3 linked regions of the Arabidopsis thaliana genome follow. The protein of the gene in region 1 interacts with the protein of each later gene in a biochemical or structural test. Each region holds a gene or a part of one and is shown on either strand. Other genes may lie near its edges.

Evidence for each region. The genes of interacting proteins can lie anywhere in the genome.
Region 2: the proteins of AT5G61200 (region 1) and RPL24A form a complex in vitro, tested with the Arabidopsis thaliana proteins (one study listed by BioGRID).
Region 3: the proteins of AT5G61200 (region 1) and EIF3A form a complex in vitro, tested with the Arabidopsis thaliana proteins (one study listed by BioGRID).

What each region holds. Positions count from the first base shown.
Region 1 is NC_003076.8:24,616,624-24,623,166, reverse strand, and holds AT5G61200 (myosin heavy chain-like protein), read right to left. Parts: upstream 3,024-6,543; 5' UTR 2,849-3,023; intron 2,782-2,848; exon of another isoform or gene 2,750-2,781; 5' UTR 2,712-2,749; coding exon 2,595-2,711; intron 2,499-2,594; coding exon 2,439-2,498; intron 2,353-2,438; coding exon 2,250-2,352; exon of another isoform or gene 2,171-2,249; coding exon 1,506-2,170; intron 1,405-1,505; coding exon 1,237-1,404; coding exon of another isoform or gene 1,144-1,236; exon of another isoform or gene 1,143-1,143; coding exon 1,086-1,142; 3' UTR 501-1,085; downstream 1-500. Other genes in the region: AT5G61190 (putative endonuclease or glycosyl hydrolase with C2H2-type zinc finger domain-containing protein), read right to left, coding at 3,281-3,503, 3,617-4,035, 4,188-4,514, 4,594-4,813, 4,896-5,194, 5,315-5,473, 5,554-5,745, 5,850-5,984 and 1 more.
Region 2 is NC_003071.7:15,348,806-15,354,621, reverse strand, and holds RPL24A (ribosomal protein L24), read left to right. Parts: upstream 1-2,608; 5' UTR 2,609-2,802; coding exon 2,803-2,813; intron 2,814-3,299; coding exon 3,300-3,375; intron 3,376-3,484; coding exon 3,485-3,586; intron 3,587-3,674; coding exon 3,675-3,823; intron 3,824-3,917; coding exon 3,918-4,074; 3' UTR 4,075-4,354; downstream 4,355-5,816. Other genes in the region: AT2G36630 (Sulfite exporter TauE/SafE family protein), read left to right, coding at 1-119, 201-463, 549-597, 680-735, 810-896, 980-1,030, 1,117-1,356, 1,448-1,541 and 1 more; HB22 (homeobox protein 22), read right to left, coding at 4,534-4,611, 4,697-5,091, 5,211-5,295. UniProt on the Arabidopsis thaliana protein: Might have an extraribosomal function in reinitiation of translation.
Region 3 is NC_003075.7:6,946,014-6,955,036, forward strand, and holds EIF3A (eukaryotic translation initiation factor 3A), read right to left. Parts: upstream 6,467-9,023; 5' UTR 6,361-6,466; intron 6,098-6,360; 5' UTR 6,041-6,097; coding exon 5,995-6,040; intron 5,889-5,994; coding exon 5,407-5,888; intron 5,319-5,406; coding exon 5,103-5,318; intron 4,970-5,102; coding exon 4,601-4,969; intron 4,513-4,600; coding exon 4,483-4,512; intron 4,394-4,482; coding exon 4,166-4,393; intron 4,051-4,165; coding exon 3,889-4,050; intron 3,773-3,888; coding exon 3,551-3,772; intron 3,461-3,550; coding exon 3,254-3,460; intron 3,173-3,253; coding exon 2,966-3,172; intron 2,877-2,965; coding exon 2,796-2,876; intron 2,640-2,795; coding exon 2,438-2,639; intron 2,333-2,437; coding exon 1,821-2,332; 3' UTR 1,463-1,820; downstream 1-1,462. Other genes in the region: AT4G11410 (NAD(P)-binding Rossmann-fold superfamily protein), read right to left, coding at 1-31, 125-278, 411-490, 589-820, 1,068-1,173; AT4G11430 (hydroxyproline-rich glycoprotein family protein), read left to right, coding at 6,786-6,815, 7,600-8,229. UniProt on the Arabidopsis thaliana protein: RNA-binding component of the eukaryotic translation initiation factor 3 (eIF-3) complex, which is involved in protein synthesis of a specialized repertoire of mRNAs and, together with other initiation factors, stimulates binding of mRNA and methionyl-tRNAi to the 40S ribosome.

The DNA.
Region 1 (6,543 bases):
AAAAGTAAAAAGTAACTACTTTCTAACGAAAATAGAGCAATTTAGATCTTTTTAATTGTATATAGGACGTAATTGTGGATATAATAAACGTAGTTGGATTTTTTCTTACAGAGAAAGAGTCATTTTCTTATATTTTTCTAATTTCTGCTTCTTTTTTTGTACTGATGGTTTAGTTGATAAATTGTATGAGCCCAAAAAGAATGGGTAAGTTGTCAATTTTGTCATCCAAAAAGAATGGTCTTTGTTGAATTTGTCAAAGAGAACATATTTTCGCCCAAAACCAAAAACTACTTGAAGATAGAAAATTGTTTGACAATATCTATGGATATGATCATGCCTAATTTATCTCATTAATTTTTATTTGTTACCGGTTACATTGATAACGACTACAACAAAATCTTGATGTCCTAGTAGATACGATATTTCAACATATCATTTTGGTGAAGAACAAGTTGGAATATGTTTTTGCTTAAAGTCAAGTTGGATTAGGTTAGACAACAAATCTACAAGTGTCTTGATTAACAATAAAGACAACAGGTTCTTTTCCTTGACCCATTCATTTATCCCTTTGCATCAACAACAAGGTTACTAGACTCTGCACATACATGATGATACAACAACGCTTCCAGATTTCTTTATTTTCACAAGAAAAAGAAGAACAATAAAAGAGAGAAAAACGGGCCATCAAATAAACTCAGCCTTATTGACCTAGGCTCATTACAGGCCTATCAAATAGAGTCAAATAGTAAGAATCTTCTTGGTCAACGACCACAGCTTTCAACATTCTCTAGAGACTCATGTCAATTTCTCAAGATCTCTACATGTTGCTGAAGGCGTAATTAAACACTTAGAAGCCACATGAAGAAGCAGTTTTTTTTTTTGGTAGGCACATGAAGAAGCAGTTTCACTCTTGTAAAACTCAATTTCCATATATAAACATAATCACAGGGATGAAATCTATATTCCAATTTCCAATCAAATTGGATTATGTACACTTTAAATACATAAGAATTCAAACCTTATAGCTTAAAGGCTTATTTGAGGCATTAACTGTGATTTCAAGTTTAACTCGAACCTTAGCTGGTTTATACAGCAGGAAGAGGAACTAAGCAAGTTGAGGACTTGTTCTTCTCTCTCTTGATCTTAACAAGAAAATGGATATTTGTTAGGTTCCTTCAACAATATCTGATGGCTCAAAAAAAATAAAAAAATTGGAAGATATAAAGAAGCAAGTACCTGTGCTTCTAGATTGGCTATTCTTTGTAATGATGCTTGTTCGATGCATGCACGCCGCTTGCATTCTTCCTCCAATAAACATGTCATTTCATATCTTAATTCAGCCATTTCTTGTGTTAAGTCCTCTGCTTCTTCCTTGGCCTTTAGTTTCTCTTCTTTCAACTCATCCTTAGGCATAACAAAATAATGGTTTAACTAGTTAGAATATGTGTGACGCTGCAAAAAGGCACCAAATTTTTGATTCTACTGTTTTGTTTGGTAACTAATACCTTGAGCTGCTTTACAAGATCTTTGTATTGAAGTATCTGTCTTGCCATATCTTCCATTTTGTCTCTCAGTTTCCCATCCTGGAAAACCTCTAATTTCTTGATGATGTCATGGAAACAATCTGGATTTACAGGCGCTTCACTTTCACTTTCCAACCTTCCTCTAAAGCTTTGACGTAAGTCTTTGATATTCCTTTCAGAGGCTACACATCTCTCCATCAGCTCCTTGTTTTGCTTCTCTAAACACTCAGCATTCTCTTCTGCCTCTCGAGAGTTCAACCGTAGCTCCTTGACTATTTCTCTTAACTTATCGTTTTCTTGGATGCTTTCACCTTGAAATTTCTGAGCATCAAAGAGCGCCTGCTCCAACGCTACTATATCAAGTTTTATGCTTTCTATCTCACACTGAGACTCCAATGTTAAGGATGAGACCGACTCCTCCAGCTTCTCAACAGAAAACAAAGAAAACTGTAGCTCAGTTTCTGTGCTCTCCAGTTCTTGCAACAACAATAGCTGCTCAGATTTCGACGAACACAACTCCTCCCTCAAATAGTTAACTTCTTCTTCCAATTTCCCTGATTTAGTTACTCTGACTTCAAGATCGAGTACATGTTCACTCAGGTCGTTCATTTCCTGGCTTCTGAAGTTTACTTGATCCCGCAAATAATCTGAAAGACAAAGAAAGTGTTTTTTAGCTCATATAAAATATATGCCTAGATTTCAGTTTCATGAGAATCTCTCCATTACCAATCTCCTGGTAGCAATTCAACAATTCTTTCTCCAACATCTGAATTCTTCTCTTATCTTCTAAACGAGACTCTGACAACGAATTCGCATTCAGTTCCAACCTCTAGGGTAAAAAAAAAAAAGACAACAAATCTCAGAAAAAGTTTGAACAATCAATTCACTAGTCTAAAACACACAAGAGGAACATACTCTGACAAGTTCAACACTCTGTGACTGAGATTCTCTAAGCATCTCCTTTTCTCTCCGTAGCTACAATTACAATGAAAACATGAGATCATAAAGCCAAAAATATGAACTTCATCAATCTCTGAGACAAAGGATATAGAGAAAGAAAAACAGATTCACCTCCATACATCTTGAACCAATCTGTAAAAGTTCGTCAGCATCAAACGAGTTGTCAACATCGCTTCTTGAACTACTTCCCGAGCTATCTCGCGAGCTACTTCCCCAATTACTCGACATTAAAAAAGACTAACAAATTTACACACAAGAGCTGAAAACTGGACCAAGAATACGAGTCATTAGCGACCAGAGACTATAAGAAAAAGAAAGAAAAACACATTCCGACGAACACAAGCATAGTCGTAGGAAAGCTTTACCTGGCCGGTGAAGAGTAATATTCCGACGACAATACTTGAACTGAATTTTCCAGTTTCCTTTTTATCTGCTTTAATTTAAACAAGAGAAGGAAGATCCGGATGGGTCGGGCCGGGTCGGATAAGTAATCAGGGTGGCCCAGTTGAGCTGTAGTCGTAAAGCAAATAATGCAATTTTTGATGATTACATTACAGACTAAGCCGAAAATTCTGTTGGAAAAACCGGTCGTTATTTCCCAATTTATTGAGAGAACCTATATACTACAATGCCTAAATTCTATTGTTCTTGAATCTTTTTTAAGAGGTAAAGTTTATATATAAGAAACAACAGTAAGAAATAAGCAAAAGCCAATCCAAAATAAAACGTTAATCTGCCATTCAAAAGAAAACATCCATTGTTGACAACTTAAACATGAATTAACAATTCACATTATTTTAATATTTTTTCCCCCAAAGGCGAGTCCAAAAGTTATCAGCTTGGCCCTTAATCTCTTCCCTTTTGGCAGCCTCTCCAGGAAGATCCTTGCGTCCTCCAGACTTGTTTTCGGCTTCCTGTGCTTTTGGTTCGGGTTTATGCTTCTGCTCATCTTCCAAATTCTTGGCCACATTCACGTTTGGTGGCAGTTTTACTCTCTCAGGAATCACATCTAAACATCCTCTGTAACCCAAAATCCAAGCAACCAGTTAGACACACACATATTGATCGAGATTCAAGAGAAAGAGAGAGAGAGAGAGACCATATTATACACTCCCATGAATGTTGGCTCTTACCTCGGTTCATTGGGTATTCTAGACTCTCGATTCTGTTCAGTGAAGACACGGTGCACCAAGTTCTCAGATACGGTGTGTCTCTCCTTCAGTTCCACTTTATCTTCTGGTGCCCCTCGAAACCCAAGATCATCCATCTTTACAAGTGTCTGCTCCTCTGTTGCTTCTTTTTCTTGATCGGTTTCTTCTCGGATTATCCTTGAGTCAATACTGAACTGCTCCAGTGCTTCTCTATGTTTTTCTTGGTTCAATTCCACTTTATCTTCTGGTGCCCCTCGAAACCCATTACCATCCATCTTTACAAGTGTCTGCTCCTTTGTTGCTTCTTTTTCTTGGTCGGTGTCTTCTCGGATTGTCCTTGAGTCAACAATACTGAACTGCTCCAATGCGGAGACATGCTCAAATGCGGAGACAAATGCCTTCTACATCGATATTTTAGTTAAGGTCTAATATATACTTCATCACTTTCGATAGGAATCAAACCTAAGGATATTATTTTTACTAAGATTTGTAATATTCATTACTAAAAGCAGATTCCAAGTTCACGAAAGAAAACCTAAATAGTAAGATTTACCTCTACAAGCTCCTTCGCCATGGTATAATGGTTCTGACTCTTCAGTTGAGAATCAAATGTGGTTTGGTTTTTGCATGATACTTTCTTCGTTTTTTCTCCATAATCTTTAGAAAGCTTGCCTGGTCCAGTAGACATAGTTTCGTTCTTGGCTGATTGTGATTCCAAGTTCTGTCGGTGTTTTTTCCCATATGTGTGACTTGCAAATGCAACCTTGCTGTTGCAGCTGATCTGGCAGACTTGGCACCACACGGGCTGCAAACCCTCTGGTTCCTTCAAAGGATTGGTTGAAACGCTGGACTGAGAACCATTGCTGGCTACAAAGGCGGCCTACATCAAAAATAAGAAGTCAGAAGGGTTTGATATTGATCAAGGATAAAGAGGTAGAACATGAAGTAAGTGTCACTACAGTAGTATGTTTTTGGTTCGGCCAATGAGCTTTGTTATCACAAACAACTGTTGACAAACCCCGGCTATCACAAATCACTACGCAAAGATGACAAAGTTTAGATGCAGCTGGTCTTGCATGGCGTACGGTCACCTCGATTTTCTTCTTCTTTACCTCCCATGAATGCTTAGTTTCTCCTTTGGAAAGGTTTACAGGCTTGACAATGCCATCAAAACATTCACTATGACAAAAGTTGGAGAATACATTTAGATAATTGCATCTTTGACATACTAAGCAAGCAAATCCAAGTTAGCAAAAATTACCTTGCTTCCCTGGGTACTTCAAAATCAGATCTTAGGTCACCAAAGAAAAATTCTCCATTTGGAATCTGTTTGTTAAGAGTCTCCACCCAGTCCTTAGTACTTGGAAGAGGTTCTTTTACACTGCTTTCTAAAGTGCCACAAATCTTTCTCAACTCTTCGTTTTGCTTCTCAAAGAATTTGGTATGCTCTTGAGTGTTTTGAGACTGCGACTGAGGTTCGGCTATTGATTCTATTGGTTGAGCTTTTTCTTGGGCATCTTTCTCTTCAAGCTTACTCGCATTGATGAGTACCTGATGCAACTATATAAGCTTCATTCTTTATATATTTTACCACAGTTAAGACTCTCATATTCAGCATATGTTTTGCTACACTGGAAATTGTAAATTAAAATACCAAATTACCAATATTAAGAAACTGACCTCTGATTGATTCACCATGACAACATGCTTTTCGAAACACTTGCTATTCTCTTGAGCGTTTTGAGACTGCAACTGTGGCTCTACAATTGTTTCTCTTGGTTGTTCTTTTTCTCCGAAACCTTTCTCTTGAAGCTTCTTAGAATCAATGAGTGCCTGATCCTACGGTATTACATAAAGCATATGTCTACCACACTGTAGTTTTTTATATGCTCTCAAATATGCAAAAGTAAGAGACATGCCTTTGATTGATTCAGATTGGCAGCGTGCTTCTGACCCCTTAGATGAGTTTCAAAGACAATTGGACTGTGGCACCCCACATTGCACATACGACAAATGTATTTAGCACTTGCATTACGCAGTGCAGTCATTTCTTTTGGTTGACCCTTTACTTCATCACCTTTCTCTGGAAGCTTCTTAGAATCAACTAGTACCTAATCCAAAGCTATAATATCAGGCATATGTTTTACCAAACTGCCAACTTATCGATGTTAATAAAAATTCCATATAATCGAATAGCCAAAAGTTAGAAACTTGCCTCTAATTGATTCACCATGGGAACCTGCTTCTCTTGAGCCTTTTGAGACTGCAACTGAAGCTCTGCAACTGTTTCACTTGGTTGTTCTTTTTCTCCGACTCCTTTCTCTTGAAGCTTTGTAGAAACAATGAGTGCCTGATCCAATGCTTTTAGGTCAGGCATATGTTTTACCAAGCTGTCAAATTTTCTATTGCTATAAATTAACAAGTTCTCGAATAACCAAAAGTTAGAAACTTGCCTCTGATTGACTCAGCATGTTGGCATGCTTCTTACCGCGCAGATGAGAATTAAAGACAATCTGACTCTGGCACACCACATTGCACATAAGACAAACGAATTCAGCGTTTGCCTGAGCTCTACTCTCAATCATCACCTTCTTATTCATATTATGTTTCTCTAGAACCTCTTTGGAAGGCTCAGCTGGTCCCACCAAAATGTTTTTGGACTTACCTGATTGCAGTTCCAAATTGTTTCGGTGTTTTTTTCCATAGGTGTGATTTTTATATGTATCATTGTTGGTAAAGCTGATCTGGCAAACTTTGCACAACAAAGGTTCGACAAGAACTGCTTGATGTATGGGTTTGGCTGAAACGCTGGCCTGAGCTCTGCGACTTTCTACAATGGCAGCCTGCACAAAGAATTCAAACAATTTTTTTTCTATTCCTTCTAGCTACCATACAATTTCATCTTCAAG
Region 2 (5,816 bases), on another chromosome or scaffold:
AGCGTTTCTAGGATCAGCTTGTGGGACTGTTGGTGGTGTTGGAGGTGGTGGGATTTTTGTTCCTATGCTCACTCTTATACTCGGGTTCGATACAAAATCCGCAGCTGCAATATCAAAATGTAATGAATTCATCAATCATTGTATAGATCTTTCATGAGAGAATGCTTGAGTTAATTTGGTATGTTGTTTGGTGGTGAAAGGTATGATAATGGGAGCATCAGCATCATCAGTTTGGTACAATGTACGAGTTCGTCATCCGACAAAAGAAGTACCAATCTTAGATTATGATCTTGCTCTTCTCTTTCAACCAATGCTTCTTCTCGGTATCACTGTTGGTGTTTCTCTCAGTGTTGTGTTCCCTTATTGGCTCATTACTGTCCTCATCATCATTCTTTTCGTCGGTACTTCTTCGAGATCTTTTTTTAAAGGCATTGAGATGTGGAAGGAAGAGACATTGTTAAAGGTTAGTTTTATCTTCCATCATAAGTTGTGGCTTTTATGTTGTGTGAGTGTGATACTGAATGTTTTATGTGGCTTTTCTTAAACAGAACGAAATGGCGCAGCAACGAGCTAATATGGTTAATTCCCGGGGAGAACGTGTGTAAAGCTTCATACTTTTGATTCCTTTAGTCATGTTTCTTGATCTTAAACTGACCACATTGTTGATTCTCTTGTTCAGTTTTAATCGATACAGAGTATGAGCCGCTTTACCCGAGAGAAGAAAAATCAGAGCTGGTAAGAGTGTATGCAAGATGATTTTCTTAACTTATTGGCTCTTCAGACTTGCATAAAGATTTAAAAACTTACAGGAAATAATACGCTCCAACCTCAAATGGAAAGGGCTTCTAATTCTAGTAACTGTGTGGTTGACTTTCTTGCTCATTCAAATTGTCAAGGCAAGTAATCTTCTTCTTCGTCTAAGCATTCTCAATAATCTTTATGTTGAGCTCTCATCAATGGAACTCGTGGGTTTATACAGAACGAAATAAAGGTCTGCAGCACAATATATTGGATACTATTCATCGTACAGGTAACATATATATGTCGCAGATAACCTTTGATTATGTTTTGTGCTCTCGCTAAATCAAGTCATTCGGAACAATTTTCCCTTTGTAGTTCCCAGTTGCTTTAGCGGTGTTTGGGTTTGAAGCAAGCAAATTGTATACAGCGAACAAAAAGAGGTTAAACAGTGGCAACACTGAATGTATCTGTGAAGCTACGATTGAGTGGACTCCTCTGAGTCTAATCTTCTGTGGTCTCTGTGGTCTCATTGGAGGTATCGTAGGTGGTCTCCTTGGATCCGGTGGTGGATTTGTTCTCGGGCCTTTGCTTCTTGAGATTGGAGTCATCCCACAGGTAAACACACCATCTTATCAGTATATATGATTGTAAAACCCATAATCATTCATCTTGTGTCTTTCATTTTTATCTAACGGTTAAAACACAGGTTGCTAGCGCAACAGCTACCTTTGTGATGATGTTTTCTTCGTCCTTATCCGTAGTCGAGTTCTATCTCCTCAAGAGATTCCCAATACCATACGGTAAGATCTCTAACACACAACATGAGATACATTTAGAAGTCGTAGCAGAATAAAAAGGAAACTGATGATTGACCTTTGTTTCATTGACAGCAATGTACTTGATTTCGGTATCGATTCTTGCCGGTTTTTGGGGACAATCCTTTATAAGAAAGCTCGTGGCGATCCTGAGAAGAGCTTCCATAATCGTTTTCGTTCTCTCAGGAGTCATTTGTGCAAGTGCTCTCACAATGGGAGTGATTGGGATAGAGAAGAGCATAAAGATGATACATAACCATGAATTCATGGGATTCTTAGGATTCTGCAGCAGTCAATGAATCAACCATCTATCTGAACAAAAATTTCAAGTGTTTTGTTTTCATTTACTGGACAATTTCGGTTGTCCAACACCATTATTGTGAGAAGTTATAAAATTAGATTGTTTTACTTGCAGTCCAAGTCATTTGTGCTCTGTTCTTGGTCAATACATAGTTGACCATCTTCAGAAATAGAGTTTGTCTAAATTGTTGTCATTGTGTTTTGCTTGTATTCAAACGTTGTATTATTATTTGCGAGACGATAGATAAAATAAAAATGGAAGTCTTTTTCTATTCACATCTTCAATGTAACTACAACAAGAAAACAGAACATGTTTTGGTAATCTTTCTAATTGGAGGAAGGAGGGCAATTGATTTGGACTTGGCTAAGATTGTTGAACAACAAAGGCAACTTTGAGACAGTTGACTAAAGAAAAAGACATCTTCAGACAAATCTAACCACAACATCGTCTTCCCACTTGAGTGATTAAATTTTATAAGCATTTAAGTATTGTGGTTCCAAAAGTTTTGTCAACCAATGATAAGAGAGATTGCAATGGAATGATTCGCGGATCATCTTGGTCCATATACCATTTTAGCCGTGAGTTTTTTTCTTGGAATTTATGTATAGTTTTGTGATATATTGTTCGTGGTTAAACGTCAAATTCGAAACAAACAAAAAATGATGCATGTGAGATATGGAAGTCCAAGCCAAACAACATTTGGTCCTATTAAGACTGTACTAACTATCATTTTTTATTTATTAGAGGCCATCAAATCTTTGTGTAATGGGTTTTTAACTAAAACATTTCTTTCATGGGCCAAGACATTTAATTTCGGCTAAAAGGCCCATTAAACTCCTCCAAAACTAGGGCTCAGGCGAATTCATCTGCCTTAAATAGATTCGTAATTCTAGAAAACAGATTTTTTAGGGTTTCAAGTGAAAAGAGTAATAGCGCGGCGGAGCCATGGTTCTCAAGTAATCAATCTCTTCTCTATATCTCTCTTCTCCATGCTTCTCTGTTCATAGGTTTACATTGTTGCTAATGATCCATGTGAATATTGCTACTGTTGAAAATGCCAATTTGCTAAAATGAGCTTCTTTTGGTTCAAATCTGTTTATTTCCCGATCAGAAATGTCTGCAAATTGTGATTTTCTGGTACGAGATATGGCTTGTGTTCGGCAATAACTAGATCTTATTGTTTCCCTTCACTTTGCAACATTTTTGTTTGTAATTCTGTACATTGAATTAATTGTGTTTGGTCTCTGTTTCAAATCATTGTGACTCTTGTGAATCGTATTGTTTCTCTCATTGGGCAGATATCTAATTAGCCATTTACTAGTTCTGCTTTTAGGACATTGTAAAATGAGATGGCTTTGAATGTGTGTCCTGTGACTGTTTGTGATTGTGACCAGGGTTGGTTTTGGATTATCACTAAACCATTGATTATCTTTGTATTGTAGGACTGAGCTTTGCCGATTCAGTGGCCAGAAAATTTACCCTGGTAGAGGGATCAGATTTATCCGATCGGACTCTCAGGTACTTTATTTTGGTTAAATGTGTGCTCTACTTGTTAAGAAGAGTCTTATCTGTTGTTACTATGTATCTGTATTGATTAAATCATCTTTGGTTTTTATGGTTGTATTAGGTGTTTTTGTTTCTCAACTCCAAATGTAAGAGGTATTTCCACAACAAGTTGAAGCCATCTAAGCTTTGCTGGACTGCTATGTACCGAAAGCAGCACAAGAAGGTAATGTTTCTTTTTTTAGTTGCTTCTTGTTTTCATGATTTAGTACTATTGAATTCTGTTGTGATCTTTGTTTTCTCTCTTCTTACAGGACGCAGCACAAGAGGCTGTGAAGAGAAGGAGACGTGCAACTAAGAAGCCTTACTCAAGGTCGATTGTCGGTGCTACTTTGGAGGTTATTCAGAAGAAGCGAGCAGAGAAGCCTGAAGTTCGTGATGCCGCTAGAGAAGCTGCCCTACGGTTTGTTTCTTTCCCGAAGACAGTCACTATATACATCAATTTTTTTTTGAAACTGAAATGTGATTGATTCAAAGCTAATCTGATGATTATGCAGTGAGATCAAGGAGAGAATCAAGAAGACCAAGGACGAGAAGAAGGCAAAGAAGGTCGAGTATGCATCAAAGCAACAGAAGTCACAAGTGAAGGGAAATATCCCCAAGAGTGCTGCACCCAAGGCTGCTAAGATGGGTGGTGGTGGAGGCAGACGTTGAATGGAGCTATAGAGTAGCCCACTCTTCTCTCTTCACTTATCTTTCTTTCTTGTTTTGACATTGTTTTGTTTTGTCAGCCATTTTTTAGTTTTGCACCAGATCTAATATATTCAGTTTATGAAAACTTTTTGTTTGGTATCAATCCCCTTGTGTTTTACTCGTAGATCCAAAAACTGCTAAATAGAATTTTCAACTTGGCTTATTCTAGGACATTATTAGTGGTCTGAGCTAAATTGAGCTTTGGTTAAGCATTGATTATGGATCTAGAGTTCTTGAATCACGATGTTTCTTCATTAACTTCAACTTAGTAAAGAACCCTTTACACGAAAATCACTTAAACAATACTTAATACAAAGGAAAACAGAATCAGCCATAGAAATTGTTGCTTGTTTGGGACTAAAGCTACAAATTTGAGCCATTTTGGAGATATAACTGAAGTGGAACTTATATACTATTGCCTCAGCTGCAGGCTTTTTCCCAGGTTTGTTTCTTCTTGCATGAACTATCCTCTCTTATCATTGATTTCAGTTGTATTAGCTGTTGAAACAAAGTGAAAGTAACTCAATGGATTGTAACTCGAAAGCTTATTTATTAAGTTAGTATTGATCACTGGAGTAATTACCTCTTCTTGTAGCAATTCCTTTTCTCTAGAGACAATATCAAACTCTTGTCTTAGTGATTCATAGAGATGCTCAAGTTGTTTGTTCTTCCACCTGGCTTTCCTGTTCTGGAACCAAACCGCAATCTGTCTCGGCTGCAGCCCCAGTTCTTTGGACAGCTTCATCTTCCTGTCCGGATTCAGCTTCATCTTCCTGTCCGGATTCAGCTTTATCTCTTCTTGGAAACTTCTCTCGAGGAACTTTAGCTGCTCGCTCGTCATCTTCTTTTTTTTCTTCTCCTGTCCATTAAAACTGTTGCTTTCTTCTCCATAGCCACTCTCTACCATTGCTAGAGGAACATGAAGTATATCTTGTTGTGCACCCATCATTGTACCTAAACATCTGTTGTCTTGGTTTCCTACAAATTCAATACAAGACAGAGAGAGACTTGTAAAGCGACATACAGTTGAGTGAATGATTAAGCATTAAGCATATAAACTAGCTCTACTAAAACCTAGTACTATGGATGCATGTTACCTGAAAAATGGTCAAAGTTATAGAAAGGAGAGATGAAGCTGGAAGAAGACGCGCCATCGATGAAGGAGCTGCTCCAATATTCCATCTTCTCTTCTTCTTTTTTTTTACCTCTTTTGTCTATCTCTGCTTACAACAATCACTTTCAAGAGACTATTTTTTACCTAAACAAGGAAATGAGCAACTTTGGGTGTTTGATATGGGTGTATCTTTATCACTATATGCATATGTTAGAACATGCAGGAACATTATATATAGATAAGTAAATGTGGTTGAAAACGCTAGGGCTTCTGTTTTTAACTTCGGGTAACTAATTGGTCACTATCAAGTAAGATAAATATATGTGTAAATGAATGGTTTCATTAGTCTGACCGGTAACAAATAGTACTCCGAACGATGAGGGTAAGAATAGGCGGTGTTGAGCAAATGCATTATACGATACAAAACGAGCTAAAAAAAGTTAATGGTGATTATTTAGTTTGAAATTTTTGTTAAAAATTGATTATTATTCTCATATTCTCACATGACCTTGTATGTTTCCATAAGTAAGATATTTACATAAGTAATAACGTAGGTATTTCGTATTATACGTGACCAATTAATGTGGAT
Region 3 (9,023 bases), on another chromosome or scaffold:
TGACTGACCATATGCTTGCAAAGTATTGTACCTGTAGAGAAACAGTGAGAGCAATAGCAGTATGTTATTAGTTTACTACACTAGAACTCAAAAGTAATAAACAATACTATCACATAACAATCACCTTGCTTCATCATTTATTTTGTCAAACTGAACACCTTCCCGGTAAGCAAATCGATGACCTTCTGATGAGACAATAACAATTCTTCCTTCTCTATTGCTTTCACTAGCTGTTTTCTTCATCCTCTCCAAAAGAAGGTTTGTCAACAGAAAATGACCTGAAGCATTGTACAAAACATAAACCTTATAACATAGAAAATGTTCCTCATCATACTTCAAACGATGAAGCAAAAGTTCAAACAAAGAAGCAAAAAGGGAGGAGATCATAAGTTCTTCTAAACTAAACATACCCAAATGATTGGTTGCAAACTGTAATTCAATGTTGTCGCTAGAAAGCAAGAAGGGACATGCCATAATCCCCGCATTATTGCTACAAAAACAAGAACAAAGATTAAGCCGACTAACACATATTAACATTCACTAATCCAGCAATTACTGAAACAAACTACAAACTTAGAGAGACTTTACATGAGAAGATTCAAGGGAAGGTCCAAAGACTGATACTCTGATGCAAAGCTCCTGACAGAAGCCATAGAGCTAAGATCCAACTTCATTACATCAATCTTAGCCTGAGGTATTTCCTTAAGTATCTTATCTCTGACTTGATTACCAGAATCTGTATTCCTTACCGCCATTACAACATGAACACCACGAAGAGCAAGAACACGAGTAGTCTCTTCCCCAATACCACTTGATGCTCCTGAAATCAAATAAAACATATACATCAAAAACCAGCAAAATCTTCTCCTTTGCTTCAAGATGTGTTCTTAACAAGCCTGATAAAGTTTAATCCTTTAGTCCATTAACAGATACCAACAACAACTTGAGTTCAAGGGCAGGATCAAAACCAAGAAATTAAACTATAGACTGAACATAGATCATAAAAAAGTTGAAAACATCTGCACGAAGAAGAAGAAGAAGAAGAAGAAGAAGAAGAAGAAGAGGACCTGTGACGATAGCAGTGAGACCAGTACCATCGATTCCATGAGTGACTTCTTCAGCTGTGGAACGAGCAGAGAACCCAGATGCTCCTTTCCACCAAAAAGGCCACATGTTTGTTTTGTTTCTATCTTCTGTACCACAAAATTAAAGTCTAATCTCAACCAAACCAACGCTAGCTGATGATCAAACACACACCCTAGTAAAGTTGACCAATTATAAAATTTCTTTTTCCGAGAGCTTTTGCAATGTGCCCATGCTCTGTTCTCAAAACAAGGCACTGAAGAATCTCGTATAAAAGTATTAATTACAGTTTCATTTGTTTTCTTCCTTAATCCAGAGATAAGAATAAAGATGTTTGTATACACTATTTACATTTTTGATACAAATGTTGTTAAATGTGAAATTTGGTATTCGTTTATTGTTCTTCATAAACTAATAATAAGCAATTAACAAAAAGTTTGCTTGAAAGAGAAGCTGATCAATGTCAAAGGTTTTTACAGCAGAAAGTTGGAAATAAATTGGACAAACAAAGAAAGATCCAACCGAAGAAGGAAATAACAACTCTCTCTGGGTGTGTAGAGCAAAAAACGAGTCTAACATGTTTTAAAATCTTTCATAAAAACTTATAAAAGATGAGCAATCTTCAAAAGAAGAAGAGACAGGTTTGGGCTAAAGAAGAGTGCTGTGATGTTGAAAATCCAGAGATAACCTTTTTCATTCATTCCCATGGAGATTGAGACCAAAAAAATTATTATTACTCAACGCTGTGTTGGCCTGGGCCTGGAGCTTCCAAATGTGGATCGGCGATCATCACTGCCTCTAGGACCAGAACCCCAACGGTCTCCTCCTTCAGCTGGAGGTCCAGATCTTTCCCTATTACTAGTCCACCGGTCAGTATTCTGAGCGGCTCCTCTGTTGCTTCCCCAGTGGTCATCTCCGGGAGGCGGCCCACGGTTGGACCGTCGGTCAGTTTCTGATGATGTTGGTGCTGATGGGCCTGAGACCTCAGTAGTCTGGCGCTTCCACTTCGGAACATAAGGTGCTGCTGGTGCTCCTGCTGCTGCTGCTGCTGCTGCTGGTGCGGTAGTTCCAACAGGAGTAACAGTAGGCTCTGCAAGGCGAGCAGGTGGTGCATTAGTTCCTCTCAACAGCTCTTCTCGTTCCCGCCTACTTTTCTCTTCCAGCTCTATCTCTCTCTGCCTTTGCTTCTCAAAAGCTTTATCCAAGTTTGCTTTGCGTTCAGCTTCTACCTTCTTGAGCCTCTCAGCTTCTACATTAGAGGAAAACCCAAAAAATAAACAGAAACAAGGGGTTATTAAGAAAAACTTCAATATCAAAGTCAAAATGATGTGGATTTATGGAAGCAAGTCCACACCTTCCTGCTTGCGAGCTTCCTCTTCTTCCTGCAGCTTCCTAATCCTTTCTTCTTCAATTTTCAAATAATATATCTGCTTCCTCTTGATATCCCTTTCTTGCTTCTTCTCTCGGATTATTTTACTGATACGCTCCTCTCTCTCCGTCCTGATTCTGTCAAACTCTGCTTGTCGACGACTAATCACTTGTGCTTGGAATATTTCCTGGGCACAGAAAGATTCGATTATAAGTACATTGGAAGGAAAAGTTACAGGAAAAATGTAAGAAACTAGAGAGCTTTAAAATTAATTCAATAACGAAAAGAGATTCAGATCAAAGATGAACATTAAGAGAAACAACATGACATGTCAAAGACTGACCTTATTACCCAACATTCTGGACAACCTGTTCTTCTCCTTCAAGTCACTCTCATGACGCTCTTTACTGAGTTCAACTTCACGCTGCATAGGAGAAGAGCTTTTAAGACCTCATATACTTCCAACACAGAACCAAGTTGTAAGAAAAGAAAAACTACTGAAACAGTAAGTACCTGTTGTTCACGCTCATAAAACTCTCTTTCCTCTACCAGTCTTCGCTGATATGCAGCTTCAATCAATGGAGCAGCCTCTTCTCTCTTTGCTCTTTCCAAATAATCCATCGTTTTGGCAAGCTTTTGAAGCTTCTTCTCCATTTCTTGCCTTTCCTTGAGCTGCTCAGTTAAGGCCCTTTCCTTCACAGATTGCTTTGTCACCTTCTCCTATATTTAGTTTAACCCAACCGACATTAGTAATAAGTTAATCAGTGAACTATATAATAGCTAACATATTGGTAAACTTACTCCGTCTAAAAGTGGCTTCTTCTTTCCCTTTTTCATGCGCTTCTCTGTCTCTTCCAGTAAAGCTTGGGCTTCTTCAAGCTCCTTCTCCTCTATCTCTCTAAGGATTCTTTGTTTTCTTCTCTCTGCAAGCTCTGCTGCAAGTCTCTTTTGTTCTGCCTCTTCAGTTAGCTTCTGAAGCTTAAGCCGTTTCTGCTCCTCTTCACGTTCCTTCAAAAGTAAACATCAAATAAAGGAATTTTCATAAACAGGTACAGCGTAAAAGGAGAGCTGTGCAAATAACCATGGAAAAGTAACTACCATTTCTAGTTGCTGACGCTCTTGATCCTCCTTCCTCTTTTCAATGATTGATTTACGAGCAAGCAGTCTTTTGTGCTCTTTCTCAACAGTATCTGCTAAATTTGGTATAACGCCAGCTAGTTTTGATGCTTTACTTGGGACAGGATACAGCATAGCTCTTACTTTGCTCAAAGACTCGGCAAAAACAGCCAGATGATCCCTCAGTCCATCAGACTCAATACCCTAATATACAAACAGTTGATCAAATAGATTAGTATTTAGTCAATAAGTTAAAAATTATATTACTCAACTACATATGATATAATCAGTGTTGAGCTGAAGCTTTAACAGAGGCTTACCAAATTTCCAAAAATTACAACACCCTTCATGTGATCAACTTTCATGGCAACAAAATTGTTCTTCACAGCATCAACAGAAATCTTCTCTACCTCTGAGAATTGAAAGAAGGGTACCAACTGAGATAAACTCTCAATTCTTATTGTCTGATAAATCTTAGACACCTGAAAATAAAATCGGAACATAGAACATTTAGTATGCAGAAAAAGGGATAAACCACCAGAAAAATCCAAAATGGTTGAATGGGTATTGACCTACAACATAGAGAACAAGGCTTACCTGTTGAAGTAGCCTCAGAGTAGCAAGCTTCTCCAGAGAAGGAACATATTGGGAAAGTTGCACTTCTGGTAAAGAAGGAGCTGAGGACAGTTTCCCACCAGATTTGGAAATCTTTTCCAGCAAAGGCTGAATCTTGGAGCCAAGATCAAGTGGGTGAAATTCATGCTCCAAAACATGGAAAAGATCTTTGACCTCCTGAGATGCACAGCTCAAAACACCTTTTGAAACCTAATTGCATAAAAATCAGCCTCCAAATCAGATATTTGTAAGTCGACAAATATTCTAAACCACAGACAGGGTAACAGCTAGAGACTCACCAGCTCTGACAGAAGAGCTGACCGGGAAAGCTGAAACAGGAAGGAAATGGAATTAGAATACTAAACCAGAAAGAAAGGGCGCAAAATAAAAATGAAGCAACATAAGAACCTATGTTACCATATCTTTGCCCTCAAATTTAGGTTCAAGATTGAATCCAATGAGGTTAGCCATCCTCAAATTGCGTTCTTTCTCATTTTCAAGTTCCATATGGGATGCGCTCTGAGCCCGATCAAATGGTGGAATGGACAATGCCGCCAAGACAACAGATGACGCTATTAGCTGCAAATCCTTTTGGCTTAAATTCTTGTTGAAATTTTTCTGCAGACTAAACAGCTTAAACCATGCATAAGCATGATAAAGATGGCTAGAAGAAATCCAGAAGATCTCAGTCAATTTGGAATAATAAACCATCAATAAAGATGACTTGGGCGTTTTTTTGACCATGCACATTAATCCATAGATATCTTCAACAGAGCGAAAAGCTTCCTGCAAAGATACATCACGAACCATACTAACTTATTTCCAGTAATTATACAGAGGATAAGCTATATACAGCCAAACTAAATATGGAATAGAGAAGGTAGCATCAGAAAAATACACATAGAAAACAAAAACGCACCTGCCAAAGTCCAAGCTCAGTAGCAACTTTCAACTGATCAAACCTTGTGTCCAGATACAGCTGCAAGCTCTCAGGGGCTGATAAGTCAGGTCGGTCCCTTTGGTCTCTGTACTTGTTCAGGTTTGCCAAATGATTTCTTATAATTTCACAAAGCCTACGGAACTCTGTTGTTCGCTTGTACTGCTTACAGAACTGGAAGGCTTTATGTGCTGTCATCTACAAGATTATAAAGTACAAGTCTTCAATCTCAATCAACTTAAAATCAGAGGTATCACCAATAAGCTTAACCTAGAAGAAAACAAACCGCATAAAGTGCTTCCAACTTTGAGTTGTTTCGCAATATCTCAAGGACTGTCCTGTATGTCTCCCACAGAAACTTAAACCATGGGGTGACCAACTCACGGTCAGACCTATCTTTTCCCTTCTCCCCACTGACAATACTTAGCTGTAAATCCTCAGGCTTCCTATCAGCTTCAAGGTCATCAACATCAAGAGCCTCCTCAAGGGCATCCGCCTGAGACCGAGCTTGCTCAGCTTTGTCAGTAGCAAGATGTAGGAAGTGCTTGATAACTTCCTCCAAGGAACTGACATTCACTTGCTGGCAAACAATACGATACTGAATCAATCCATCCTTAGCGAATCGACCCCTCTTCAAGTCAACACAAAGATCAAGATACTTAAACATGATCTTCTCAAGCGGTTTCTGCCAAGCTCTGTATCTCTTGGAAGTAATGAGATCATGAAGCGCCTGAAGAGCATCTTGTTTCTGTCCAACATTGATCAATTCTACACACACAAAAAAAAAGTGTTTAACACAATCTCAATTCATACACACCCTAACCACATCCATTTGACCAAATGGATGTTAAAACGAAAACATTTCGTAACTTACCATCAGCACGCTTCAACGCGTTCTCTGGTTTGGCAAAATTCGCCATGTTTCAGACGAAAAAAGCTAGTAACAAACTCTAACGCAAGGGACACTCTCAATTAGCCTGAAAAACACAGAGAAGCGATTTTGTTACAGAGATCACCAGAATCCGAAAAACCCAATCAGATATCTCAGAAAAGGATGGAAGCTACATAGACCAGAAAAAACTTGCCCAAACCCTAAATTCATTTCATAGAATCAAAATAACACAGAAAGATTCGATAACCTGACCCAAACCCTAACCCAGATCAATTCAATGAGATTTGATTAAAAGGCAGTAGAGATCCAATCACTGATGCAAGAACAGAGCCGAAACTTAGGACTAACCTTGTAGCCGTGAAAAGAGAAGACTGATAAGAGAGACGAGAAGCGAAGCGGAAGCAACTCTAGGGTTTCTGGTATTAATATTATCGTTCTACATATATATTACCCATATTTGCAGAAATCATCCTATTTTCTTACGGTTTCGAAATGACCCCGTTTTATCTTCTTAGTGTTTATAAAACCCAATTTGTCTAATACTGGGATGTGATTCAATTGAGATCAACAAAATTTATGGATTTCATTTTCGAATTATCATTTACAATATACTCTCTATATTTTGTTTAATAATATTTTTAGCAATTAACTTTGATATTTCTATATTATTAACTAAACATACATTTAAGTAAATAGCCAACAACATATTAAATATTACATAAAATGCCACTACAAAAATTCATTTCAAAAAAACAATTGATTTACATAAAATCATGAAAGGTAAAAAATTCAACTGTAAAAGGGTGTTATTGGTTTATGATTTCAAAAGAGTTTTAATGACTTAAAGTGTAATATAGAATCTGATGTTATTCAATTAAATTTTTTTTAAAGTATAATTGTGTTAACCCGCTTTAATATTTATAATTGGGCAATTATAAATTCATATAAAAAAAATTAATTATGATTATTGCATTTATATAAAAAAATTGAAAATTTGAATATGATTTTTTCTATTACAAATAGGGATTGTTAGCTTACTTTTAACTGTTTTTTTCTTAATTATACTAGGTAAGTAACAAGAGTATAAGAACATTATACAGTTCAAAATATATATTTAAGCAAGGCATTGGAAATATGTGATGGAAAATTAATATAACAGATTATTTTTGAATTATTTTACTATCGACGTATTTTTTTTGTCGGAACTGTCGCTCACGATTTGCAATAGAACATAGCCATATGTAATCATTTTGATCTATATTTTTGAGTTACTCCAAGATTCAAACAATTTAAATTCCGTTATAATCTACAATTAACCTTCCATCCAATTCCAAAATCAACAATATTTTAGCCAATTTGTGCGATGATCATGAATTTGTTTTGTTAAATTCATTGATTTTCTAGAATCCAACATGTACATAAAAAAAATTAGTGGAAATTGATATATTTTTTTGGGAAATTTGCAGAAATAACTAACAAAAAAACTATAATTCACTAACTAACCATCCTAACTATGTAATTATAATATTCTCTGTATTATATGTAATATTACTCAATTTGCCCTTGTTGCCTCAATACCTTCAGTAGCAACCACCACCGCTGGCCACCACCGCCGGCCACCACCGCCGGTCACCACCGCCGGCCACCACCGGTCACCACCACCGGTCACCACCGCCGGCCATCACTGCCTGCCACCACCGCCGGCCACCACTGCCTGCCACCACCGCCGGCCATCACCGCCAACTTCGGCCACCATCTATTCCGGTCACCACCAACACCGGTCACCGTCACTGTCGGCCACCATCAAATCCGGCCACCACCAACTCCGGCCACCACCAACTTCGGCCACCACCACCACCGCCACCACCACTGTCGGCCATCACCACCACCGGCCACCACCACCACCGCCGGTCACCACCACCACCACCACCACCACCACCACCACCGCCGACCATCACCCCGCCGGTCACCACCACCACCGCCGGCCACCACCACCACCGCCGGTCACCACCACCACCACCACCACCACCACCACCACCGCCGACCATCACCCCGCCGGTCACCACCACCACCACCGGCCACCACCACCACCGGCCACCACCACCACCGCCGGCAACCACCACACCGATCACCAACACTTCCGACCACCATCAACTCCATCCACCACCGCCGGCCACAACCATCACCACCACTACCATCTCCAATCAAAAAGACTAATTTAGTAAGTTTACTACCCTCTAGTGTTAGTTTCTACATTTTGTATATTATAGTGTTAGTTTCTTAAATAAATTATCAAAAACAGTTAGTTTTGCAATTCACCCATATTTTTTTCTCGTAAATGTTTTTTTATTGATCGAAAGTCTACGGCACAAGGTATTCTTACAAGACAATATTTTAAGAGCTAACAAAACGAATATATAGTCCACAAAGATAGACCCAAGATTAAACCCTCCAAAGAAAGAAAAGAGACAGCAAAGCAAACTATCTTCATATCACAAGACGCGTCAGACGGTAAAGATGAGATTACGACACATGTTGATTTCACAACCTCCACCGCAAGAGATCCAACTTCCGATGAATTTTAGATCGTCACCGGAAAACTAAGTTCGAGCAATCAAATCTTCTGTTTCTCACCGTAATGACAATCGCAGATCACCATACTGATTTGCTCACGACTGATTCTTAACCAATTGAATCTCTGATTCCTTGACAACAACGACGAAAAGGTAATTCAAGATCTACACAACAACTAAAGCTTTTAATTAGGAACCTAAAGCACATTCAAACCATGAACTGTTTTAACCGAGTAACATCCGCTTAGAGATTAAGCCAATAAAGCTTCCAACCAACAACTAAAAACATAAAAGAAAGCAATCATCTTCATAGATCGGTGGGAAGAAATAACCACAATTATGTTGAACTCAATCCAAAGGCACTAGAAAAAACCATCATCCACAACTCCGATTTGTTTCTTTTAAAATTGAAATCGATAAGCTTGAAAAACAAAACGA